Linked DNA regions of Ovis aries. Each later gene encodes a partner of the first gene's protein in a complex. Links are inferred from orthologs where the notes say so. Each region holds a gene or a part of one and is shown in the gene's direction. Other genes may lie near its edges.

What was found.
Region 2: MED13L (region 1) and CCNC share a complex: the UniProt entries of both Homo sapiens proteins name them as parts of the mediator complex. The link is inferred for Ovis aries from reciprocal best matches to the Homo sapiens genes MED13L and CCNC.
Region 3: MED13L (region 1) and MED16 share a complex: the UniProt entries of both Homo sapiens proteins name them as parts of the mediator complex. The link is inferred for Ovis aries from reciprocal best matches to the Homo sapiens genes MED13L and MED16.
Region 4: MED13L (region 1) and MED12 share a complex: the UniProt entries of both Homo sapiens proteins name them as parts of the mediator complex. The link is inferred for Ovis aries from reciprocal best matches to the Homo sapiens genes MED13L and MED12.
Region 5: MED13L (region 1) and MED24 share a complex: the UniProt entries of both Homo sapiens proteins name them as parts of the mediator complex. The link is inferred for Ovis aries from reciprocal best matches to the Homo sapiens genes MED13L and MED24.
Region 6: MED13L (region 1) and MED18 share a complex: the UniProt entries of both Homo sapiens proteins name them as parts of the mediator complex. The link is inferred for Ovis aries from reciprocal best matches to the Homo sapiens genes MED13L and MED18.

What each region holds. Positions count from the first base shown.
Region 1 is NC_056070.1:58,896,993-58,900,492, forward strand, and holds part of MED13L (mediator of RNA polymerase II transcription subunit 13-like), read left to right. Parts: coding exon 1-163; intron 164-2,796; exon of another isoform or gene 2,797-3,500. UniProt on the Homo sapiens protein: Component of the Mediator complex, a coactivator involved in the regulated transcription of nearly all RNA polymerase II-dependent genes.
Region 2 is NC_056061.1:37,531,378-37,535,396, forward strand, and holds the start of CCNC (cyclin-C), read left to right. Parts: upstream 1-1,219; 5' UTR 1,220-1,347; coding exon 1,348-1,379; intron 1,380-4,019. UniProt on the Homo sapiens protein: Component of the Mediator complex, a coactivator involved in regulated gene transcription of nearly all RNA polymerase II-dependent genes.
Region 3 is NC_056058.1:41,109,603-41,113,577, reverse strand, and holds the start of MED16 (mediator of RNA polymerase II transcription subunit 16), read left to right. Parts: upstream 1-1,175; 5' UTR 1,176-1,280; intron 1,281-2,049; 5' UTR 2,050-2,176; intron 2,177-2,529; 5' UTR 2,530-2,574; coding exon 2,575-2,707; intron 2,708-3,254; coding exon 3,255-3,362; intron 3,363-3,614; coding exon 3,615-3,784; intron 3,785-3,975. UniProt on the Homo sapiens protein: Component of the Mediator complex, a coactivator involved in the regulated transcription of nearly all RNA polymerase II-dependent genes.
Region 4 is NC_056080.1:63,829,577-63,833,604, forward strand, and holds the start of MED12 (mediator of RNA polymerase II transcription subunit 12), read left to right. Parts: upstream 1-1,228; 5' UTR 1,229-1,459; coding exon 1,460-1,558; intron 1,559-2,087; coding exon 2,088-2,192; intron 2,193-2,399; coding exon 2,400-2,591; intron 2,592-2,727; coding exon 2,728-2,884; intron 2,885-4,028. UniProt on the Homo sapiens protein: Component of the Mediator complex, a coactivator involved in the regulated transcription of nearly all RNA polymerase II-dependent genes.
Region 5 is NC_056064.1:40,087,936-40,091,435, reverse strand, and holds part of MED24 (mediator of RNA polymerase II transcription subunit 24), read left to right. Parts: intron 1-22; coding exon 23-122; intron 123-431; coding exon 432-607; intron 608-3,101; coding exon 3,102-3,366; intron 3,367-3,500. UniProt on the Homo sapiens protein: Component of the Mediator complex, a coactivator involved in the regulated transcription of nearly all RNA polymerase II-dependent genes.
Region 6 is NC_056055.1:238,803,761-238,808,013, reverse strand, and holds the start of MED18 (mediator of RNA polymerase II transcription subunit 18), read left to right. Parts: upstream 1-1,453; 5' UTR 1,454-1,601; exon of another isoform or gene 1,602-1,612; intron 1,613-2,387; exon of another isoform or gene 2,388-2,452; 5' UTR 2,453-2,458; coding exon 2,459-2,531; intron 2,532-4,253. UniProt on the Homo sapiens protein: Component of the Mediator complex, a coactivator involved in the regulated transcription of nearly all RNA polymerase II-dependent genes.

The sequences.
Region 1 (3,500 bases):
TGGGATCCTCCATGTTTGCTCCACTGAAGATGTTGCCGAGCCAGTGCCTGCTACCTCTGAAGATTCCTGATGCCTGTCTGTTCCGGCCTTCGTGGGCAATCCCTCCTAAAATTGAGCAGCTGCCCATGCCGCCTGCAGCCACTTTCATTAGAGATGGCTACAAGTATGTGCTGGGATCGTGTCAAGTCACCTGCTGTATTTAATGGGATTTGTATCATTTAACCTAAGTATTTACTTTACATGATGACAGCATTTCATTTGAAACTTCATCGGCCATTCGTGTTTTTGTGCATATTCTTTTGTGTTGAAAATATTATTTTCTAAATTTCATATATATGGGAACATTGAGGTTATTTGTGTGGAGAACCATGGTGTTTATGGTCATTCAGTGTCAAATTAGTGTCTGTCACAGAACCAAGCAGTAGATTGGAGTAGGTAATATTTTTAGGGTGATGGTGGTAAGTACTTCATTATATGTACTTTGATGATTTCAGATGTGTTTACTTAAGGCACTTTAAGGTTAAGTATTCATATGCTAATTTCTGTTGCTGACCCCATGTCATACAAGAAAGCAGCAATAGAACGGTGCTGTGATATGGAGGAGGGAAAAGGAAGTATTTGTCATAGCTTGTACGTAGTTTGTACTGTCCCCAAATAATTCTGACTTCAGCAGTGCAGAATTAGTTTTCCCTTTGATTGATAATTTCTTAATGACATAATGTAAATGCTTTAAAGTAAAAGGCCACAAACGCAAATGTCAGGACCAAGTAAGCAATATGTGAATGGAGTGGACAGGGTCGAGCAAAATACTAGCCGCCATTGACACTCAGTGTCGCTGTAGGGGTGTGGGGAGAGCGGGGCCAACAGCAAACTGTTCGAGAGTGTGTGTTGTCCCCTTTAAAGGGACTTTTTTTTTTTTGCTTTTTTTTTTTTGGCAGTTCAACCTTAGGGAGTTGTTCAGGCAGGAATGTGAGAGATTTTAATGTACATTTCCTTTTTAAAATGTTGATAGTTGGGAATTCCCTGGCAGTCCAGTGGTTAGGAATTGGCACTTTCACTGTGAATGGCCTGGGTTCAATCCTTGGTCAGGGAACTAAAATCCTGCAAGACGTGTAGCGCGCCCCGCCCCTCCCCCCCCCTCCCCCCCCCACACACACACAGAAAAAATTGTTGACAGTTAATTCAGAGTTACATTCTAAAAGCTAAGACAAATTTATGCTGTAGGTCCAGTTTGTGGGCTACTTTTGTGACCTTGTATAGAAATCATCTTAATGAAATCAACTTTAATTTTATAAGCAGGCTTTATGATTATGTTTGTGTAAAGTCTGTATTGGAATGAAAAACTGTGACAGTGAAGTACTTTAAAAGAACCTTAGACTTGGAGAAGTACATGGAGTCATAGGACTCGAATTCCTGCCTTTTTTGTTTAGTCTCTGTATGACCTTAAGGGATCCTTTTACCTAGGTCTTCTCCTCTTTAACATGGAGTTTCAGGCACAAGATTTTTGAAACGCTCTGAGAACTAATGGTTGTGGAAGCAACATGCCACCAACAGGATGAAAGTGTGTGCCCAGAAGCACTCTGTAGGGCAGGGCCTGGCTTATTCTCTGCTGCCGTTCTCCAGTCGTGTCCCAGCTTGTTTTGTCTCAAACTGGCCCGCACAGCTGGAGCAACTAGCACGCCAGGGGTTAGCATGCTGATCACAAGCAGTGCAGCCACTTCAGGAGCCATTCCACAGCCTAGCCTCTTACACAAGCTCCTCAAAACAGTAACACACACCCCTTTGCTGCAAGATAGTTTCTGTAACTAGATAATTAGATCATTGTTTAGATCGAAATCTGTTGTCTGCCACCCCAGAGATTCTTGGTGTTCTAAACTGGCACTGTTAACTCTCTGGGATGAAATAAGTGTACTGCGCCTTTAAGTTCAGCACGTGGGGCTGGTGGTTCCCTTACTTCCTGGACTGCACAGTTGTGGCCTGTGGGAAGTCCTCCTGCTGTGGTCTGCATCACTCTGTGTGTGTGTGTGTGTGTCACTGTGTGTGTGTGTGTATTAGTTGCTCAGTTGTGTCTGACTCTCTGCGACCCCATGAACTGTAGCCCGCCAGGCTTCTCTGTCCATGGACTTCTCCAAGCAAGAATAGTGGAGTGGGTTGCCATTCCCTTCTCCAGAGGAACTTCCCAACCCAGGGATTGAACCCTGGTCTCCTGCATCGCAGGCAGATTCTTTACTGTTTGAGCTGCAGGGAAGTCCTCCCGCTTTATTACAGAACACACCAGCAGTCTCTTGATGCCGCTCATACTTGCCATGCACTGACTTTCCTTCCTCTTTTTTTTTCCCACTGTTGCATACCCAGCAACTAGGATGGGGTTGGTTGGTCCTCAGTTCATTTTCCTTGAATGGGAAAAGTCAGGTTCCTATACACAATAAACCATTTTACTGCCTTGGGAGCAATTTAATTATTTAGGTTTTCAGTTAATCATTGTAGTTCCTTTTCTGATCTGAACTGCATAATCATTTTAGAGTTTTGTTGAACAGGAAAATTTGAAAGGAGTCCAATTAGAGTAAAGATCATTATTACACACTTACTATTTTGCTCTCTGAGATAGCAGTGATTGCTGATCAGGGTTTCTGGGTCACGCGTTATCTGTACTCAAAGACACCGCTGTGCCTCAGATTGAACATTTCTTTGCAGAGCCTGATTTGGATTTTCAGGTTGGTAGGTTAGGCATAGGTAATTAAAAATCAGAAGAAAATGATTCAAAGAGCCATTACTTTATGACATTCTTCTTTCAAATTATAAGTGAATGAATATGTACTTTATTGGAGGAACATTAGTTTAAGTACAGTATTAACAGAAGAATTTTAAGCATTTAAAAAAATCTTATTTCTTTTGATACCTTCTAATTGGAAAGAGTGATCCCAATCTGTTTTATGGGTACCTCTAAGAATGTATATCAAGAACATTTTATTACAATAAGAACTTTTATTACAAAATCGTGGGCACTGTTTTGTTGTCTTTGTGGCTGTTCCAGACAGAAGTCACTGCTTATGAGAAAACAGCACAGTGTGATTGTCTCTGGGGATTCAAACTCATGCTGTTTTGCATGGCATATGGAAAATAGGAGATGAACTGCAGTTGCCCACCACAGAAACCTGTTAGCAGTTTGGACACTTTGATGTAGCATGTATGCTTACATGCAAAGACCGAATTAATACTAAGTCCTCTTGGCAGCATGTGTAACATTTGTATTCACTGTAATATATGACTGGCCAATGGGTTCCTCAGATAGAATTCCCTCATGGTCACTCATTACGATAAAAATGCTAGCTAGATAGGACTGCATTTTTTGGAAACTAGAAAAATGTTAAATTTTCATGTGCGTTTGATTATAACTGCTGTAGAATCATATGTAGATTATAGCCTCAGAGAACAAGTACACTGGCAGACTTTCAGTCTCAAAAAAGGACAAAATTGTAATTGCAAATTAGATGGGAATT
Region 2 (4,019 bases), on another chromosome or scaffold:
GAAGCATAAGCTGGAATCAAGATTGCCAGGAGAAATATCAATAACCTCAGATATACAGATGACATCACCCTTATGGCAGAAAGTGAAGAGGAACTAAAAAGCCTCTTGATGAAAGTGAAAGAGAAGAGCGAAAAAGTTGGCTTAAAGCTCAACATTCAGAAAACGAAGATCATGGCATCTGGTCCCATCACTTCATGGGAAATAGATGGGGAAACAGTGGAAACTAGTTTTTGGTTCAAGCCAATTCAATTAAACCTACATTTATGGGGTCCCTCAAAGATGATTTACCTTTGAACTAATGAAGCCTAAGCTGATGCTCCTGACTTGCAGGGCCACTGAGAAAACTGAGGGATGCTGGGCATTTAGACGCTGGAGTTCTGGGTAGGAAGCAGAAACCAGGTTGTACACAGGAAGTATTTCTATGTGGCATTCTGGTAAACTGCCTGAAAGTTCACAGAAGGAAGGGACCTGAATCTCCTAGCTTCTAGTAATTTGTCGTAATCTCTTTTTGCATTGTTTCGCAGTCACTTCAATCCAAAAGAACTCCATTAAGAACCTATTCGGCTTGTTAGGTTTTGAGGCCAAGTGAAAGTGTCAAAGTCGCTCAGTCGTGTCCGACTGTTTGCGATCCCATGGATTATACAGTCCATAGAATTCTCCAGGCCAGAATACTGGAGTGGGTAGCCTTTCCCTTCTCCAGGGGATCTTCCAAACACAGGGATCGAACCCAGGTCTCCCGCATTGCGGCTGGATCCGTTACCAGCTGAGCCACAAGGGAAGCCCTTTGAAGCCAAAATTAACTTTATTTCTCTTTCCAAACACAGGAGAAAGAACAGAAGTCAGGAAGTCGTATAGTTTAATACAAAGCCACTGTGCTGCTTTGGAAGCCTGTAAGATGGGAGTAAAGTTAACCCGAACAAGGGACGGTTTCCCCATCCCACCCCTTCTCCGTGAATCCTAGCTCCCACAGACGCACGAGCCGCGCGGGCTCTAGGCCGGAAATGACGAAAACCTCTCGCGATACTCTCCCAACTGCCGCGAGACTTCGTGAGAGTCAGTTCCCGACTCCTTTTTCAGTGTGCGCAAGGGCTATCTCCTCCCCGCCTCTTTCCTCCGCTACCGCGGGGCGGGCCGGAACTTCCATGCGTAGGAACTGGTTTGTACAGCAGAGTGTTGCCGGCCGGCGTCAAGAAGAATAGGGTGCTATCTTCCTCTCACCGTCGCCGCCGCGGAGCGGAGCCGAGTCCATCAGATCAAGGAGCGCGGTGACCGGGAGGGTTGGGTCTATGGTCGCTCCGCGCTCCGCTCCGCCGGCTGGTGCTTTTTTATCAGGCCAAGCTGTGTTCCATGGCAGGGAACTTTTGGCAGAGCTCCCACTAGTAAGTGATCTTCCGTTTTCTCCGGGCCTGGCTCTTGGAGGTGCTGGGTGTACGGGGCCTGCGACTCCTTTTGGCCTGGATCTCGGCCCCTGTCCGGAGCGCCGCGGAGGCTCCAGGGAGGCGGCGGCCGGAGGCGGGATGTGCTTTTTCTTCGGCGACTCTCCTCACCGCGCCCCGTTGGCCGGGTTTTGGAGTGGTAGAGAATTTCTTGGCGGGGGAGGGTAAGAGGGATTGCGTCTCCGGAGGAGGAAGGTTCGAGAGTTTTAGCTTCTGATTTTTGGTTTAGCTAGGCCGAGGTTGGGGGCAGGGGAGAGGCGGGGCTGGCGAGGGTTGGGATATGGGATGGACACAGGTATGGGAAGTGTGACAGTTCAGAACTGTGAGGCTGGCTTCTCAGGACAGTTGTGGTTCGATCTCGCCTGATATTTGTAAAGTAGGTTGGCATCAGTAATCGTTTATCATTCTTCTGTGTTGAGTGGATTGTTACTCCAAGGAAAGGAGGGAGTCAGGCTTGTTTCTGCTCATGAACCGCATTCTGCCACTGTCTTTAAGCCTATATGGTTTTTATGTTTGTAAGTTATAGATCAATTGCTCTCAACATTTGTCCATTTCGTTAGTCTGTGTCTCATGTTTTGTTTTAAAAGTGTATTTTCTAGAGACTTTACCAATATCTTTAACGTGTTTTCCAGAATAAGTTTTTGTTGACGTCTGTACCGTGGAAGAACTAGAGTAATATTGAAAGCATTTCTCCCTAAATACATTTGTGTAAGCAGATAGGACGATGGTGATGGGACTAATTGAACTTTGGGTAGGCTGTACAGTGTATAGTTGAAAGACACAGAACTTGATGATACCTTAGTGTAAATACTTTTTCATGCGAAGAGAGCATAAGTAAATTTTGAGTGTGAGGATGGATTCCTATATTATTCAATTGGTATTTTAGCCGTTTGCACTAGAAAAAACGAAACAATGGGCTTTAAAACCTATTTTCAGAAAAGCAGGTTTTCTTGCTGTAAGTGGTTCTGTGGAGATGAATGGCTATAGAAGCTTTACTTCCGATCATATTTAATTTGCACTGTATTCACTGACTGAAATATTTGCTTGGGCAAAATTAAAATATGGAAAATTTCTGTAGTGAAGTAGTAGTATTCTGGTTAACTTTGAAAGAAGCTGAAAAAATTGACAGGGAGCCAGTTGTTGATTATCAGAAGTTACAGGCCTTTTTCAACTTAAAAAAAAGAAGTTTGACCCTTTGATAAGTCTTCTCATTATGCTTTCATTTACTGTTGGCTTATTAAAAAGGGGCCAGGATGTATTTTATAAAATCAATTATTTTTTCACTTTTCAAATATAAAATTAAATGTGCTGTTTTTAAAACTGTCCTTGCCTTCCTAATCAAATAGTCCTGGAGGAAGGGGCCACTTTATCTTACTCAGATCCCTTGGGAATCATGGAGTCCCTGATCTGCAAAAGGTAACAAATATGAAAGACAAGACAAGCAATTCAGGAAAAACAAAAAGATGATGAAAGCCATTGTTTTAGGTGATTTTGGTGAAAGAGGAAGATTGATATGATTTTTCATGGCTTAAAATCGCCCTTTAACATTAACTGCTGCTAGCAGCAGTTAAAAAATGGATAACATTGCTGTTATCAGCATGGCAGTTTTTGTTTCCTTCAGTAACATAGGAAATAATGGTGAATCTTACAATCATGTGTAATTTTAAATTTGAGAATATGTGGCGTTAACTGGTTTGTCTTCCATGCTGTGTGCTGTGAAGAAAAACAGTTGTTTGTGGAATTTATCTTTTTAAATATTTGAAATAACTGTGGAGAAGAAATGGATGATTTTGAAACAGAGACACTGGTAGTATTTTTCAGGAAGTTAAGTAGAACACAATACATTCTTTGACCATGATGCAGTAAAACTAGAAGGACACTAGACATTTGCTGGTTGACTGAAATAATGAACAGGTGACAAAAACTAAAACTACAAAACCAACTCTGGATGCTTTACTGTAGCAAAGAGAGCATTTAAAATACACTTACATATTATCTAGGAAATAGTATAATGAGATTAATATGTATTCATATCTTTGGGATGTGGCCAAAGCCAAATTTATAAGAAAGTTAACATCTTGAATAACTGAAAAAGAATAAAAATTATATATTTTACTTCAGAATATTAAAAAGGAAACAGTGAAATAAACCTAAGAAAAACAGGCATAATAAAGGTAACACTGATACTGAAAAGGAAAAAAACCGTCAAATTATAAGAGCTGCCTCTTTGGAAGGGAAAACCAAAACAGTAGACTAAACTATGCTACTGAATATAGGGGAAAAGGAATGGTCAGTTCAGTCCCTCAGTCGTGTCTGACTCTTTGTGACCCCATGGACTGTAGCGCTGCTAGGGTTCTCTGTCCATAACCAACTCCTGGAGCTTGCTCAAACTCATGTCCATCCAGTCGGTGATGTAGGAATACAAAATTAGGTAGGAGAAAAGTAAGTAATCACAGATGTACCTTTGGGTTATCTTCATTTTCAAAGTAAATTTTAAAGCCAGAACAAAGTTATCAGAGAGCTACTTCTTTAAAAATTGCTCCAGGCCCACATTATTTCATAGGTAAATTTTTACCCACTTTC
Region 3 (3,975 bases), on another chromosome or scaffold:
TTTCCAGTATAGATGTGAGAGTTGGACCATAAAGAAAGCTGTGCCCCGAAGAATTGATGCTTTTGAACTGTGGTGTTGAAGAAGACCCTTGAGAGTCCCTTGGACTGCATGGAGATCAAACCAGTCAATCCTAAAGGAAATCAGTCCTGAATATTCATTGGAAGGACTGATGCTGAAGCTGAAACTCCAATGCTTTGGCCACCTGATGTGAAGAACTGACTCATTGGAAAGGACCCTGATTCTCGGAAAGATTGAAGGCAGGAGAAGTGGACAACAGAAGATGAGATGGTTGGATAGTATCATCGAGTCGATGAACATGAGTTTGAGTAAGCTCAGGGAGTTGGTGATGGACAGGGAAGCGTGGCATGTTGCAGTCCATGGGGTCGCAGAGAGTCGGACACAACTGAGCGACTGAACTGAACTGAGAGGACCGGCTGGGGCTCAGGGCACGGGTGGGGGGCCCAGGGCAAGCCCACAGGCTGCCTCCAGACCCACGCGGACTCCGTCCTGTCCAGCTTCCTGGTTGGCTGTGTAGATTCTCCACACACCGCGTCCCTAGACAGCCCGGCCCCCAGACCTTTGCCCAGATGTTGCCTGCTCTCTGTCATACCCTTCCCTGCAATCAATCCTATGTCTTTCTGGAAAAGACCTTCCAGACTGGGGAGAGTCCGACAGCTTTTGGAGGAGGAATTGAGGATGGAGACTGATTCTACCGGCCCTTGATGGGTTGAGTTACCTGGCTTATAAGCGAGTTACACGTTGGCTAGACATCGTGATAAAAAGCGAAAATATGGAACGCTTCACGAATTTGCGTGTCATCCTTGCGCAGGGGCCATGCTAATCTTCTCTGTATCGTTCCAATTTTAGTATATGTGCCGCCGAAGCGAGCACAAACCACGAACAGACGCCAGAACTATTTATAGTAGACAGAACCAAATACTTTACGCTGAGGGCGAATTCTATCAAAAACCAATACAGCAATTTTCCTTTTTTTTTACTAACTTAGTGCAATAATGGCCTAATCTAAGGGGATTATTCACTTAAATTGAGAAAGTTTGTTTTTTCCATCAAATATAACGCAGATGGCTGTTGGAAAGGCACGATTGTATGCAAATTACCCCGGAAGCGGGGCGGAGCCACTGAGGTCCCAGAAGTCTCCGGGAAGCAGCCGGGCTGCGCGGGAGACTCGTTGGTCCTGGGAAGATGGCGGCGCCGGAGCCGGGGCGTTAGAGCGAATGCAGACGGCAGCCTCCTTCTCGGTGGGCGTACAGGCTGGTCCAGTGAGTGTGGGGCTGGGGGCTTGGGCAGTCGGCCAGCCTCCGGATGGCGCCGACGCTGCTGGGATTATGGGTCGGAGCAGGGCCTGTGGAGTCAGAGGGCGGTCCTGGAGAGCAGAGGGTGCTGGGTACGCTCCCTGAGGGCTCTGGGCGTGGTCTGGGGGGTCGTGGCGGAAATTTGGGGTGACCTGAGGCTCCCTGCGTTGGGCGGTGTAAAACCGGGGAGGGCCTAAGGTTGTACCTCCCCGGGGAGGGCCTGGGATGCATTTGAGGCGGGGCTTAGGGACTGTCGGGTGGGTTGGGGCGGGTCCTGGGTGGCCAGGTGGCCAGGTGTGTGGAGGAGGGGCTTTGGGATTGTTTTGGCGACTTTGGAATAAAAACAGAAGTTTAGGCCGGGCCTGGGGACGCCAGGGACAAATTGAGAGTGAGGTCTGGAAGGCACATTTTGTAGGGGCGGGGCCGGAGGGCTTTGGGGGCAGAGCTTAAAATGACTGTTGGTTGGGCTTGTGGGCGGGGTGTCAGTGTTCTGGGGCGGGGCTTTAAGAAGCAGCGGGTAATGTGATTGGGAAGGTGAAAGGAAATAACCTTAGTCGCGGCTGGGTGCAAAGAGCCTGCTGAGCAAGCTTTCACTGACCCTTTCTGTACCCCTGGAAGCCAGGCCCCAAGTTGCTGCCTAACCCCCACCCTGCCTCCCTACCTCTGTCTAAGGCAGCCTCACTGGTTCTCCTGTGTCCTCCTTAAGAATAGACCTGGGTGCTACCTCTTGTCGCAGCTTTCACTGTCCCCGTCACTGTACACCTGGACCAGCGCCACCATCCATTCCCCAGCCGTGCCCTTCAGACAGCCAGAGGGGCCTGTGAAACAGAAACAGGCTTCTTGGGGCTCCCATCTTCCTCCTGGTAAAACCCCCAGGCCCTGCAAGACCTGCCTCATCCCCTCCCCAACCTTACCTTGCTTCTCGCCCCCACTCACTCTGTTCCTGCTCTGCAGGCCTGGATACTGCTTGAGCATCCCAGGCTCAGTCAAGCCTCTGGGCCTTTGCACTGGCTGTTCTCTCCTCTTGGCATGCTCTTCCTCCCAGCTGCATGGATTGATCCCTGGCCATGCTTGTGTAAAACGCAGTTCCCTGGCCACACACAGGGCAGGGGTTGAGTCCACTTTGTCCCCCGTGGTAACCAGCATCCACCACCGCACTCGGGGCCCTGCAGGCACCCTGTGAAGATGGATGACAAGCCTGTCTTCCCTCCTGTAGGAGCTGGTGACCGTCCTCCCTGTGTGACCTTGGCAATTGGGCACCATGGACCTGGCTTACATCTGTGAGTGGGAGAAATGGCCCAAGAGCACCCACTGCCCATCCGGTCCCCTTGCCTGCACCTGGTCCTGCCGCAACCTCATCGCCTTCACCACGGACCTGCGCAGCGATGACCAGGGTGTGCCACCCCCATCCCAGGCCCCCTCATAGGGCCCTCCCCCCAGCTCCCATGGGGTTTCCTCCTCTGAGACAGGGGTGCTGAGGGGCACAGAGATAACCTTGAGGAATGGCCGTGTCTGCAGGGCTGGGGGAGAGGGGGTGGTGGCCACTTATGGCTTGCTGAAGCTCCTGCAGGAGTTTTCCAGCTGCACGTGTTGCCACCAGCTTTGCGGTGCACTCTGCCGCAGGGCAGATATTCTTCCCACCACAGAGCAATATGCACTTCTTAGAGGAAATTAGGAAAACGTGAAACTTTAGGATGAGGAGAACCCTAACCTTTCATGGAGAGACACCCGCTGTTAGTGTTTTGGGTCCATTTTTGAAAGCACAGTTGTAACCTCACAGAAGGCCATGGGTCTCCCCTTGGGCTGCCTGTGTATAAATCATGTTTCTGGAGTCCCTGCAGCCTGGCTTTAACGCTTCCTGATAGGCTTTGACAGCCCAATCCCCTGGGGTGGTCGGGCACCAGGCCGTGGTTGCCACACTGACCTCACTGTCCCTCGCAGACCTGACCCGCATGATCCACATCCTGGACACTGAGCATCCCTGGGACGTGCACTCCATCCGCTCAGAGCACAGCGAGGCCATCACCTGCCTGGAGTGGGACCAGTCTGGTGAGGGCAGCCTTCCACCCTGAATGCCAGGGCTGCCTGCTCTGTCTTCCTGGCCTTAGCCCTAGGCTCAGAGCTGGGACTTGAAACCCTGACCTGTGCCTTTGAGGCTTCTGCTCTTCTCGCCCCTGTTTCTGAACTCACCTGTGCTGGTCCCTTGCTCTACGACTTCTACATTCCGGCCCCCCCACCCTGATGGACGGCGGGGATGGGGCTTGTGATGCAGATTTGCCCAATCTCCCACCTTCCCCTCAGGCTCTCGTCTGCTGTCAGCTGATGCTGATGGGCAGATCAAGTGCTGGAGCATGGCTGACCACCTGGCCAACAGCTGGGAGAGCCCCGTGGGCAGCGTGGTGGAAGGGGACCCCATCGTGGCCTTGTCCTGGCTGCACAACGGTGTAAAACTGGCCCTGCATGTGGAAAAGGTGGGTGTCCTGCCTGGGGGAGCAGGCCTCAAGCCCAGGGAGGGCTTGGCTCCTCCTCTCATGGTGCCAGGTTGTCACACCTGCCACCCAGTTGTCAGCATCTGTGTTGCTAGCATCTCCCACGTGGTTTGACGTGGTGACAGCCCTTGGTTCCTGTCTGTACCCCACGGTTCAGCCCAGTGTCTCCCTGA
Region 4 (4,028 bases), on another chromosome or scaffold:
GTCTTTTCAAATGAGTCAGTTCTTCCCATCAGGTGGCCAAAGTATTGGAGTTTCAGCTTCACCATCAGTCCTTCCGATGAACACCCAGGACTGATCTCCTTTAGGATGGACTGGTTGGATCTCCTTGCAGTCCAAGGGACTCTCAAGAATCTTCTCCAACACCATAGTTCAAAAGCATCAGTTCTTCAGGGCTCAGCTTTCTTTATAGTCCAACTCTCACATCCATACATGACTACTGGAAAAATCATAGCCTTGACTAGACCCTTGTTGACAAAGTAATGTCTCTGCTTTTTAATATGCTGTCTAGGTTGGTCATAACTTTCCTTCCAAGGAGTAAGCGTCTCTTAATTTCATAGCTGCAATCACCATCTGCAGTGATTTTGGAGCCCCCCAAAATAGTCAGCCGCTGCTTCCACTGTTTCTCCATCTATTTGCCATGAAGTGATGGGACCAGATGCCATGATCTTCGTTTTCTGAATGTTGAGCTTTAAGCCAACTTTTTCACTCTTCTCTTTCACTTTCATCAAGAAGCTCTTTAGTTCTTCACTTTCTGCCATAAGGGTGGTGTCATCTGCATTATCTGAAGTTACTGGTATTTCTCCCGGCAATCTTGACTCCAGCTTGTGCTTCTTCCAGCCCAGCGTTTCTCATGATGTACTCTGCATATAAGTTAAATAAGCAGGGTGACAATATACAGCCTTGACATACTCCTTTTCTTAGAAAGTATCTATTTTGTATATCTCTATGCACATTTTTTTTTCTGGGAAGAAGGGCCTTAGCTTCCATCAGCATATTAAAGGGATTGTGAAACACAAGCGGTTAAGAACCTCAGTGATGTACCATAAAGACCTTGAGGGATTAGAGCCGACCTTTCAGGATTTAACACGTGCTTTCTCATGCATATGTAGTTTCTAATCTTCGCAACAGTCCCTTAAAGGAGGTGTTAGTAGTATACCTATTTTTCAGATGCAAAAACGAAGAAGCGGTTGAAAAAGGCAAGAGTTCCTACAGACGATCTAGCCCTTATTCGAGGCCGAGAACTGAGAGAGGCTCAGAGAACCCAGTTCCAGTAGGAGCTCATCGCCTCGGCCGCCTCCCACCTCGCAGGTTCGTATCCCCAGCGCAGCACACGACTGGCGGTCGCTGCAGGAATCTTGACTGAGTGAAATCCACCTCCCGTGGCGGGCGCCGAAAAGCTCCGGGGGCGCGGAGCTCCGCCCCACGCCGGGCTGGGCCCGCCCCTGCCGCGGTCGGTATTGTCAGACGGTTCCCGGCGTCCCTCGGTTTCCCTCGGTAGTTTCCGGCAAAGATCGGGAGTTTCTAACGTGCCCCTTGTAGTCTCTCGGCTGCCGTCCTCGCCACCGCCGCCCCTCTTTTCGGCTCCCTCTCCCCTACCCACCCCCCCCCCCCCCCCCGCGATCGGCCCGGCTGGCGCCTCTGTCGTTACGGGCTGAGCAAGATGGCGGCCTTCGGGATCTTGAGCTACGAACACCGGCCCCTGAAGCGGCCGCGGCTGGGGCCTCCTGATGTGTACCCTCAAGATCCCAAACAGAAGGAGGTGAGTTCAGAAATTCGGGCTCCCAGGGGGCCAGGGGCCAGCGATCGGCAGAGGAGGAAGCACTGATGGCTGGGGGAAGCGGGGGCGGGGCGGCTCTGTGGGAGTGCAAGTCCCGAAAGGGGGAAGAGTAAAGTGGACTGGTATCGGAGAGTAAGACCTGGGGGAGGTGGGGGCTGGTTTCTGGGCTAGAACCGGGAGTGATGTTGGGGCCACGCTGGAGGCGCCCCCTCTACACACACACACACCTCAGAAAGTTGTCTGAGGCGGCTGGATGAACTAAGGCTGCTTGTAAACTCGCAGGGGAAGAGTGCTGTTGAGGGAGCTCTGGGGATTGGGAATCTTATTACTGTGGGGGTGAGGGGGTCCAAATTAATATAAGAGATTATTTTAAAATAATAATGTGCTATCTACTCCCCAATCATTTTCCTATTTTTTTCCACCCTTGTTCCCTTCTCTTCTGCCCTCTTCCACCACCACCACCATCTCCCCCAAGGAAGGAAAAAGCTAAAATGTTGTTTTCCTGCCTCAGGATGAATTAACGGCCTTGAATGTAAAACAAGGTTTCAATAACCAGCCCGCTGTCTCTGGGGATGAACATGGCACTGCCAAGAATGTCAACTTTAATCCTGCCAAGGTGAGACAACCCCATCAGGCTGAAGGAAAAGGCTGGAAGAATCTGAGAGGGAGCAAAGACCCTGGGCTGGGAAGACGTAAAGGGATGACCTAACTGGCGGTGTTTTCCTTTGTAACCTAATGCTACCACACTGGCATTTGCCCATCAAAGGCACAGCCACCTTTCTGCTCTGTCTTCCCACCCTGAGGTGTAGCTTTCTTCCCTCAGATCAGTTCCAACTTCAGCAGCATCATTGCAGAGAAGTTACGTTGTAACACCCTCCCTGACATTGGTAGAAGGAAGCCCCAAGTGAACCAGAAGGACAACTTCTGGCTGGTGACTGCACGATCCCAGAGTGCCATTAATACTTGGTTTACTGATCTGGCTGGCACCAAGCCACTCACACAACTAGCCAAAAAGGTGAGGTACTGTTTCCTGTTCTTTAGACCAAAGGGGGGAACGTGAGTACCAAGTACCCTCTGATTTTCAGATTGAAGTACACGGGTGTCAGCTCACTGGGGTGAGAGAGGTCTCACTGTTTGCAATGTCCATTCAGGTCCCCATTTTCAGTAAGAAGGAAGAAGTGTTTGGGTATTTAGCCAAATACACAGTGCCTGTGATGCGGGCTGCCTGGCTCATTAAGATGACCTGTGCCTACTATGCAGCAATCTCAGAGACCAAGGTTAAGAAGAGACATATTGACCCCTTCACAGGTGAGTAACTCCTAATACCAGAGGACGTACCACTGATCACTTCAAAGAGTGGTGGAGAAACCTTGAAATTACTCTCCTTCCTCATCTATATTCCTTGCTTCTGCTTGTATCTTGCATTCACTCAGTTAGTAAACATCAAGTGTCTTGAGTATCTACTGTATGTGTGCTGCTGCTGCTGCTAAGTGGCTTCAGTTGTGTCCGACTCTGTGCGACCCCATAGACGGTAGCCCACCAGGCTCCGCCATCCCTGGGATTCTCCAGGCAAGAACACTGGAGTGGGTACTGGGCTATAAAGATAATCACTACCTAGTCCCTGCTCTTAGGATGCTTATAGTCTAGTAGGGATGCTAAGGCCACTGTACAAATCCCATAATTAAATATAGAAACATAGTGTCAAAAGTGGAGGCAGGGGCTTCCTTGGTGGCTCAGTGGTAAAGAATCCACCTGCCAGTGCAGGAGACATGGGTTTGATCCCTGATCTGGAAAGATCCCACATGCCTCAGAGCAGCTAAGTCTGTGAGCCACAACTATTGAGCCTGGGCTCTGGAGCCCATGTGCCCCAACTACTGAAGCCTACACACCCTAGAGCCCGTGCTCTACAAGAGAAGCCACTGCAGTGAGAAGCCTGTACTCCACAACTAGAGACTAGCCCCACTTACCACAACTAGAGAGCTTGCGTGCAGCAATGAAGACCCAGAGCAGCCAAAAATAAATAAATAATATTATGTAATATAAAAAAGTGGAGGCAGAAGTTTCTTTGAGACTTCAGTGAACAGAAAGGTTATTTTCTTTTGGGGATACCTGGAAAGGCTTTAGGAAGGTGACATTTGTTTTTGTTTTGTTTTGTTTTGTTTTATTTTGTTGAAGTATAGTTGATTTATACTGTTGTGTTAGTTTCTCGTGTACACCAAAGTGATTCAGTTATACATATGTGTGTTTATCTATATTCTTTTTTGCATTCTTTTCCGTTATAGCTTATTATAGAATATCGAATGTAGTTCCCTGTGCTATGCAGTAGGACCTTGTTGTTGAAGGTGGCATTTGACTAGAGCCTATATGGGGATGAATAGGATTTAGAAACATGGTGACTGGGAGTGGGGGTGGGGGACAGAAGGTGTTCTAAGCAGAGGGACACTGTAAAATA
Region 5 (3,500 bases), on another chromosome or scaffold:
TCCCACCCCCATCCCCATGTAGGCAGATGAAGTGGCACGAAGCCTGTCTCAACATTTCAGCGGCCATCCTGGAAATCCTCAACGCCTGGGAGAATGGGGTGCTAGCCTTCGAGTCCATCCAGGTAGCTCCTCTTTTCCGCAGCCTTCCCTCTTCCCTAAGGCACAGCCAGTCTTTGATAGTTTGCTACATTTCATAAAAACAAAACGACCCTTCCTCCAGAAGCCCGTGTGTGGGCATTGGCCTCCCCTGTAGTCATAGTCTAAGCTACCCTCTCTCACCAGGTGACTTTGGGGAAATCAGACTTGTGGTGAAAAGAGGCTTGGACGTGGCCCCAGACCCCACTGCTCTGCTGAGTTGCTCACGGAGGCCGGGGAAAGTGATGGCCAGGGAGGGCGCGAGAGGCCCCAGTCACTCTTTTTCCCTCGCCCAGAAAATCACAGATAATATCAAGGGGAAGGTGTGCAGCCTGGCAGTGTGCGCTGTGGCCTGGCTCGTGGCGCACGTGCGGATGCTGGGACTGGACGAGCGAGAGAAGTCGCTGCAGATGATCCGCCAGCTGGCAGGGCCGCTGTACAGCGAGAACACGCTGCAGTTCTACAACGAGAGGTCGGTCCCTTCTTGAACTCTGCAGGTCTGTGGTGAGAAGTCAGCCCCTCCAGTAACCACTCTTCCTCCTCCTCTCTCTCCCTCTTTGGAAAAATCAGTCATTTATTTATGTAGCGTACAATGAATAAATGGGGTCTTCACTGCGGTGCGCAGGCTTTCTCTAGCGGCGGCGGGCAGGCGCCACTCTCTGGTTGTGGCGTGTGGGTTTCTCACTGCGGTGGCTTCTTGTGTGGCGGCACACACGGACTTGGTCGCTCAAGACACGTGGAATCTTCCCACACTAGGGGTCAAACCCGTGTCCCCTGTACTGGCAGGTGGGTTCTTAACCACTGCACCACCAGGGAAGTTACCCCTCTTCTCATACCTCCCCAGACATGCCACTTGCCTGCTCACTCACATTCTCAATCACATCTTCACTCACTGACTCAGCAGTGCTTGTATGTGTCTTCTTGCCGGCCGTGTTTATAATCCAGCATCTGCTGTGTGTGTGCCAAACTCCAGACCCCAAACGGCCAGGATTCCTGCCCTCGGAGAGCTTGAGTCCCAGGTGCTTGCTGGTGGGAACAGTCTTATCTCAGCTCTGTCCCTCTCTAGGAGCTGTAGAGCCCCTCTATAGTGTTTACAGGCTGTGGGCCTGTCCACCCCCTCCCTACCCTGCCCCCACCCCCTCTTCTGTGACTTTTTCTTCCCTGGACTTTTCAGAGACTTGGAAGACCTCCTTAGCAACTTCAGCTATGTTGAGTCAGGGGGTGTGGGTTTGTTTACCCATCCAGTAAGCTTTTTTAAAACATTGTGGTAAAAAAATACATGATCTAAAATTTACCACCTTAACCATTTTTAAGATAACAGCTCATTTTTATTTTTTTCTGACTCTGCTGAGCCTTTGTTGCTGCACGTGGGCTTTCTCTAGTTGTGGTGAGCTGGGACTACTCTTCATTGCAGTACACGGGCTTCTCATCGTGGTGGCCGATCGTGGTGGCCGCTCGTTGTGGCGTGTGGGCTGTATAGGGCGCTTGGGCTCAGCAGTTGTGACTCTCAGGCCCTAGAGTCTGGAGGCTTCAGTAGCTGTGGCACACAGGCTTTTTTACTCTGAGACATGTGGAATCTCCCCAGCCCAGGGATCGAACCTGTGTCCCCTATACTGGTGCGTGGATTCTCCACTGTACCACCAGGTCCAGCGGTAGGGTTCAGTAGTGTGTTAAGTATATTCACATTGTTGTGAAACATCTCTAGAATGTTTCCATCTTGTAGCTCTGAACCTGGACCAACAACACCCCTTCCTGTCTTTACCCCAGCCCCTGGACCCATTAAACACCACCCCTTTCTGTCCTTCCCCAAGCACCTGGCAACCGCCACCCTAGCTTCTGTTTCTGTGAATTTACTATATAAGTGAAATCATATCACGTTCATCTTTTGGTGGCGGGCATGTCTCACTTTGTGTAATGTTCCTCAGAGTTCAACCACACCGTTGCATGTGTCAGGACTTCTTGCTTTTTAAAGGCTGGATTATATTCCATTGTATGTATATGTTGTATTTTGCTTATCTGTTCCTCAGCTGATGGACACATGGGTTTCTTGCACTTCTTGGCTGTTGTGACTAGTGTTGCTATGAATGTGGGCTTGCACCAAACATTAAGTTATGAGTGATGACCCGCAAGGTAGCCATCAAAATGTCTTTTAAGGGAAAAAATGGAAACACAGCTGATATGAGATCGGGAGGGTCTTTTTCCCCTGCCTCCTTCTCTGTTCCTCCCCTCCTTCCTCATCCTCCTCCCACAAATCAGGGACTATTTTCTTTGATATAATTGATTGTGAGCACCCTAACTGCTGTCTGGGAAATCTATGGCTCCATCCTGCAGGTGGGAAAAGTGGCTATGAAAGTCGTGGTGACTTTCCCAGAGCCATGCAGTGTTCCCTGAACGGTTAGCTCTCAGGCCCAGACCTGCATTCACCATCAGAGACTCCTGTCATGAGGAAATTCCTGGATGTACTTACATTTGCCCAGCTACCAAGGGCCGGGAAGAGTCTTGTGGGGCAGCCCTTGGGCCCCTGTCCTGGAAGTAACAGTTTACTTTGGGAGGAAGCCAAGGCCGGGTGGGGAACCCCCCTCGAGCACAGCCTAGAGGGAAGTGATTGTATTTATCAATATTGACGCCAGAGGATTGGCAGGCCCGGGCTTGGAGGGTGGGGAAGTTGGAGGGAGAGACTGAGAGAGGAAAAAAAAGTATGAATATATTGCTGAAATGACCCGAGAGGCAAGTGCCCACCAACCCCCTGTAGGCTCGGTGCTGGCACAGGGCTGGTGGGGTCACATCTGCTCAGGGTTTGCAACTTCCTCTTGTCCCCTCCCTCCCTCAGCACAGAATGAGGCTGATTTCCCGGTTCCTGGTTCCGTAACCCTAATCCTGGGAGGAGTGGGGCCTGGGTGTTTCCGCCCCGACTCCCACCCCCTCTGTTGAACCTGTACCACTGGCCCTCCCCCGCCCCCCCCCAGGGTGGTGATCATGAGCTCCATCCTGGAGCACATGTGTGCGGACGTGCTGCAGCAGACCGCCACGCAGATTAAGTTTCCCTCCACGGGCATGGACACCATGCCCTACTGGAACCTGCTGCCCCCCAAGCGGCCCATCAAGGAGGTGCTGACGGACATATTTGCTAAGGTGCTGGAGAAGGGATGGGTGGACAGCCGCTCCATCCACATCTTCGACACCCTGCTGCACATGGGTGGTGTCTACTGGTTCTGCAACAACCTGATTAAGGTACGGGAGTGCTGGGGGTGGGCTGTGGGAGCAGGCATCCTCAGACTGCCAGAGACAGGCCTGATGAGACTGAGCTAGGTCTGGCTGGCTGGCTCCCCAACCCTCAGCCTGGCGAATCCCAGCTCAAGAAGGTT
Region 6 (4,253 bases), on another chromosome or scaffold:
TTTCTTCTGCGGTCTTGAAGTCTGGAAAGTGCCTCTTATCCAGAACTGCCTGGAAGACCCACCACAGGACTCACTACCTTCGGAAGTGCCTGTAATCCAGCTGCAGTAAACCATCAAAAGTTCATAGGAGAGCCAGCTGGAAAAGCCGAATTCTTTTCCTTGGTTTCAGGTCTGATTAGACCCAGTTTCAGCCTTGTGACCTGTATTTAGGTTTGTGGTGTTTACAGCTCTCCAACATGTTTACTTCCAAACGCGACCATCCTTTCTTGATGGGAACAGTGGCCACCGAAGTCCAGTGTTTTATTCCATGAAACTGGTTCGGATCGGTTGAATTCGATCCAGTGAAACCAACAGACCCTCCCACCAGAGACAGATGAGATTCTGGCCTTTATTAAGCATACATGGTGAACACCTAGTCCTGGCTGTACTTGGCAACCCTCCTTCTGTTTTGATTCCCACTCCTCCCAACATGTGTGTACTTTTGACCTACTCTGAGCCGGAGTGAGTGAAGTTGCTCAGTCGTGTCCGACTCTTTGCGATCCCATAGACTGTAGCCTGCCAGGCTCCTCCGGCCATGGAATTTTCCAGGCAAAAGTACTGGAGTGGGTTGCCATTTCCTTCTCCAGGGGATCAGACGCTTTACCATCTGAGCCACCAGGGAAGCCCACTCTGAGCTCGACTCCTGATCTATTCGAGCGACCTTGTCCTGTCTACAAATGGACAGGCAATAAGATGACTTTAACCCAGAAGCAGCACCTCAGCAAGGGAAATGAAAACATCAGAAGCCAAACTGATGTAAGGTGTGGCGGCGGCGGTGGTTAGGAGACTGAGTCCCACTGAGGCGGGTTGCACGCCCCCCAGGAGGCGCAGGTGGGCCCCACCCCAGCCCCGCGGGGCCGCGCACGCCGGCCGGAGGGAGGGGCCAGATGAGGACCAAAAGTCTCCAAGCGCAGCTCTTCCTTAGGAGCGGGAGCTGTTCTGAGTGAACCTCCGGCCGTGCCCTCCTCCAGGGGATCCTCCCGACCCAGGGATCCAACCAGAGGCTTCTGTGTCTCCTGCAGGCAGATTCATTACCGCTGAGCAACTGGGAAGTTCTATCATCAGATACCCACCCAAAATAAGTTTCTGTTTTACGACAATCTCTCCTCTTTTTCTGAAGCTCTCTTCCCCAGGGTCTCTTTGTCCTTTCAGGTCCAAGAGATTTCCTGGACAAAAACACGTCCAGGTCTTCACAGTTGAAAAAAATATTTTCCTGGAAGATGGCGTATGACTGCAATGCCGCCTGAATCTCCCAAAGGACCCCTCCTAAGGAGGCCGCCATCTTCCGTGCAGCATCGGAGTTTGCGCATGCGCCCCTGCTTGCCGTACAGCGGAAGAGACTTTTTTTGTCCTCTCGGCACCCTTACGTCGCAGAGTGGCGGTGTCGAGGTTTGCGCGACGAAAGGTTTTTGTCAGACGTGGGAAGAGGCGAGAGAATTGTTGCACTGCCTAGGGGTTTTCAAGTTTAGGGCTGGGGGTGGTGATTGTTGCTCGAAAGCTCCGAGGTGCTCGGGTGAATACGGTCCCCCGCTTTCCTGGAAGAGGCTGGAACGCGCTTGGCGGTGTGTTTTTGGTATAAGTGGGCACGTTTTGATGCTGGGTTTAGGAGGCCCTAAAGCATCATTGGGGCTTCCCTAGTAAACTCAGACGGTAAAGCATCCGCCTGCAATGCAGGAGACCCGGGTTTGATCCCTGAATTGGGAAGATTCCCCCGGAGAAGGAAATGGCAACCCACTCCAGTATCCTTGCCTGGAAAGCCCCATGGATAGAGAAGCCAGGCCTAAGTCGATGGGGTCACAAAGAGTCGGACACGACTGAACGACTAACACAAAGCATCAGTGGAAAGAACTTCGTGCTTTCGCTTCAATCTCTTTAAAAGGTTTTTAGAGAGGTGGAACGCCTAGATTTTAGTCTGGTATAGGTTCTGCCACCCACCTATTGTGTGTCCTTAGGCTCCTCCCCAAGCCTCAACATCCTCATCTGTAAATTGAAGGGCATACAAGAGTCCTTAAGTCACTTTTCAGTCTTTAGTTGCAGGTCCATTATGTCATCTGAGCCACAAAGACTTGGGGGTTAATATCATGGCCTCATTTTAGAAGAAAGACATTGAGTCCCAGGGTGCACAGAAAACCATTGAAGGGTTTCAGACCTTGAGACTGAAAGATTATGCTGTAACTCCATGATCAGGCCTCCTTTGTGTATTTCTGGATCACCTGAAACTGGCCTATAGCAGTTACTAAAGTTTTGAATGGGTGGATGAATGAATTTTCATCTCCAGGCCAATGACCCAAGCAGATCTGGTCTCTCTCTGCCTCTCCCATGTATTAACAAGTATAACTCTTCCCCAGGTGTATCCTGTGTGTTACCTGACTGGGGATTCCAAATCTAGTTCTGTCGTTTTCAACTTAAACAGATAAACATGGAGGCACCTCCAGTCACCATGATGCCTGTCACCGGGGGCACCATTAACATGATGGAGTACCTGCTGCAGGGTAAGTGAACTAGGGAGCTTGAATTACCTGTTTTCCTGTTTTCTGTTCCGCTTTCCATGGAGATGAGAGGCTGTTATATAAAAGCTACCTGCATAATTTCTGGCACCCTTTTATTCCCCAATTTACTTTTAATTATGGTCACAAATACATAACATTAAGTTTACCATATTAAACATTTTTAAGCATACAGTTCAGTAATGTTAAGTATTTCACATTGTTGTATAGCTAATCTCTAGAACTTTTTCATCTTGCAGAATTGAAATTCTATTCCTGTTAAACACTAATTCCTCCTTTCCCCTTGCCGTAGGCCTTGGCAACAACCTTTCTACTTGATGTTTCTAATTTTGACAACGTTAGATAACCTCATAGGAGTGGAAGCATTCAGTATGTGTCTTTTTATGACTGGCTTATTTCACTTAGTATAATATCCTCAACATTAACCCTTTCGCATGTAAGAGAATCTCCTTTTAAAAATCTGAATAATGTTCCACTGTATGTACATACCATATTTTCTTTATTCGTTTGTCTGTCAGACATTTGGATTGCTTCTACCCAAATTGTTATCATAGATAATACTCAGTGAACATGAGTGTGCACATACCTCTTCAAGATCCTGCTTTGGATTCTTTAGGAGTGAATGCCCAGAAGTGAGATTAATAGATCATATGGTAATGTTATGATACTGTTATTAGTTCCATCTTCTAGATCAGGAAATAGAAGTGAAGTAACTTTCCCAGATGAGAAAGCTCAAGACCAGGGAGGGTTATGATTTTCTGGAGGTCATTTAATCTTTAGTGGAAGAATTTAGACTTTAATTCAGATCATCCGTTTAGTAACTTACAATGGACAAAATAAAATTGTTAATTGCACTCCTCAATCTGCCTCTACTTCAGCCTTTCCCATCTCAGTAAGTGCCGCTGTCAGTCATCAGTTGCTTAAGCCATGCATTCAGGAATCAATCTCAGAGAAAAGAAAATAGAGTCTATGGGGTTGCACAGAGTCGGGCACAACTGAAGCGACTTAGCAGCAGCAGCAGCATGGCATGCAGGATCTTAGCTCCTGAACCAGGGATGAAACCTGGGTCCCCTGCATTGGGAGCACCAAGTCCTAACCACTGGATGACCAGGGAATTCCTGTGAACAGTCAGCCTAGATTTCTAGATCTAGTCATCTAGATGTCTGTTTCTGACCTTTTGCCATATTTGCTCTATCTTTTTCCTTTTGCCGTTTTTGAAGACAGATTCAGATCTCGTAACATTTTACCCCCAAACACTTTCAGTATTCATCTCTAAAAAAGCAAGCGTATTTTCCTTAATAACCCCAATACTATCATTATTACCTGAAAGAGTCATAGTATATTTCTGATATCATCTAATATATAATTCATATTCAGAAGTTTCCTCCATCTTGTGTTTTGATCCAGGGCATAATATCATCTCATGCATTACATATGAAAACCGTGTCTCTTAAGCCTTTTTTAACTTGGACCCGCCTCCCCTCATTGCCACTTTTTTTCATGTGACCCTGTCTGGTTGAAGCATCCATACCAATTTTCCTAGAATGATCTTTTTAAAATGTAAATCCAGTCATATCTTTCCTTGTTGCATGGAGAATAAAGTGTGGAGCTAATAACTGCCCAGTGGCCGTACAATAAAATACAGCCTTTAGCATGGGCGACACATAAGTCCTGCCTGCTTTGGCCCATCCCAAATGCTCATTTCAT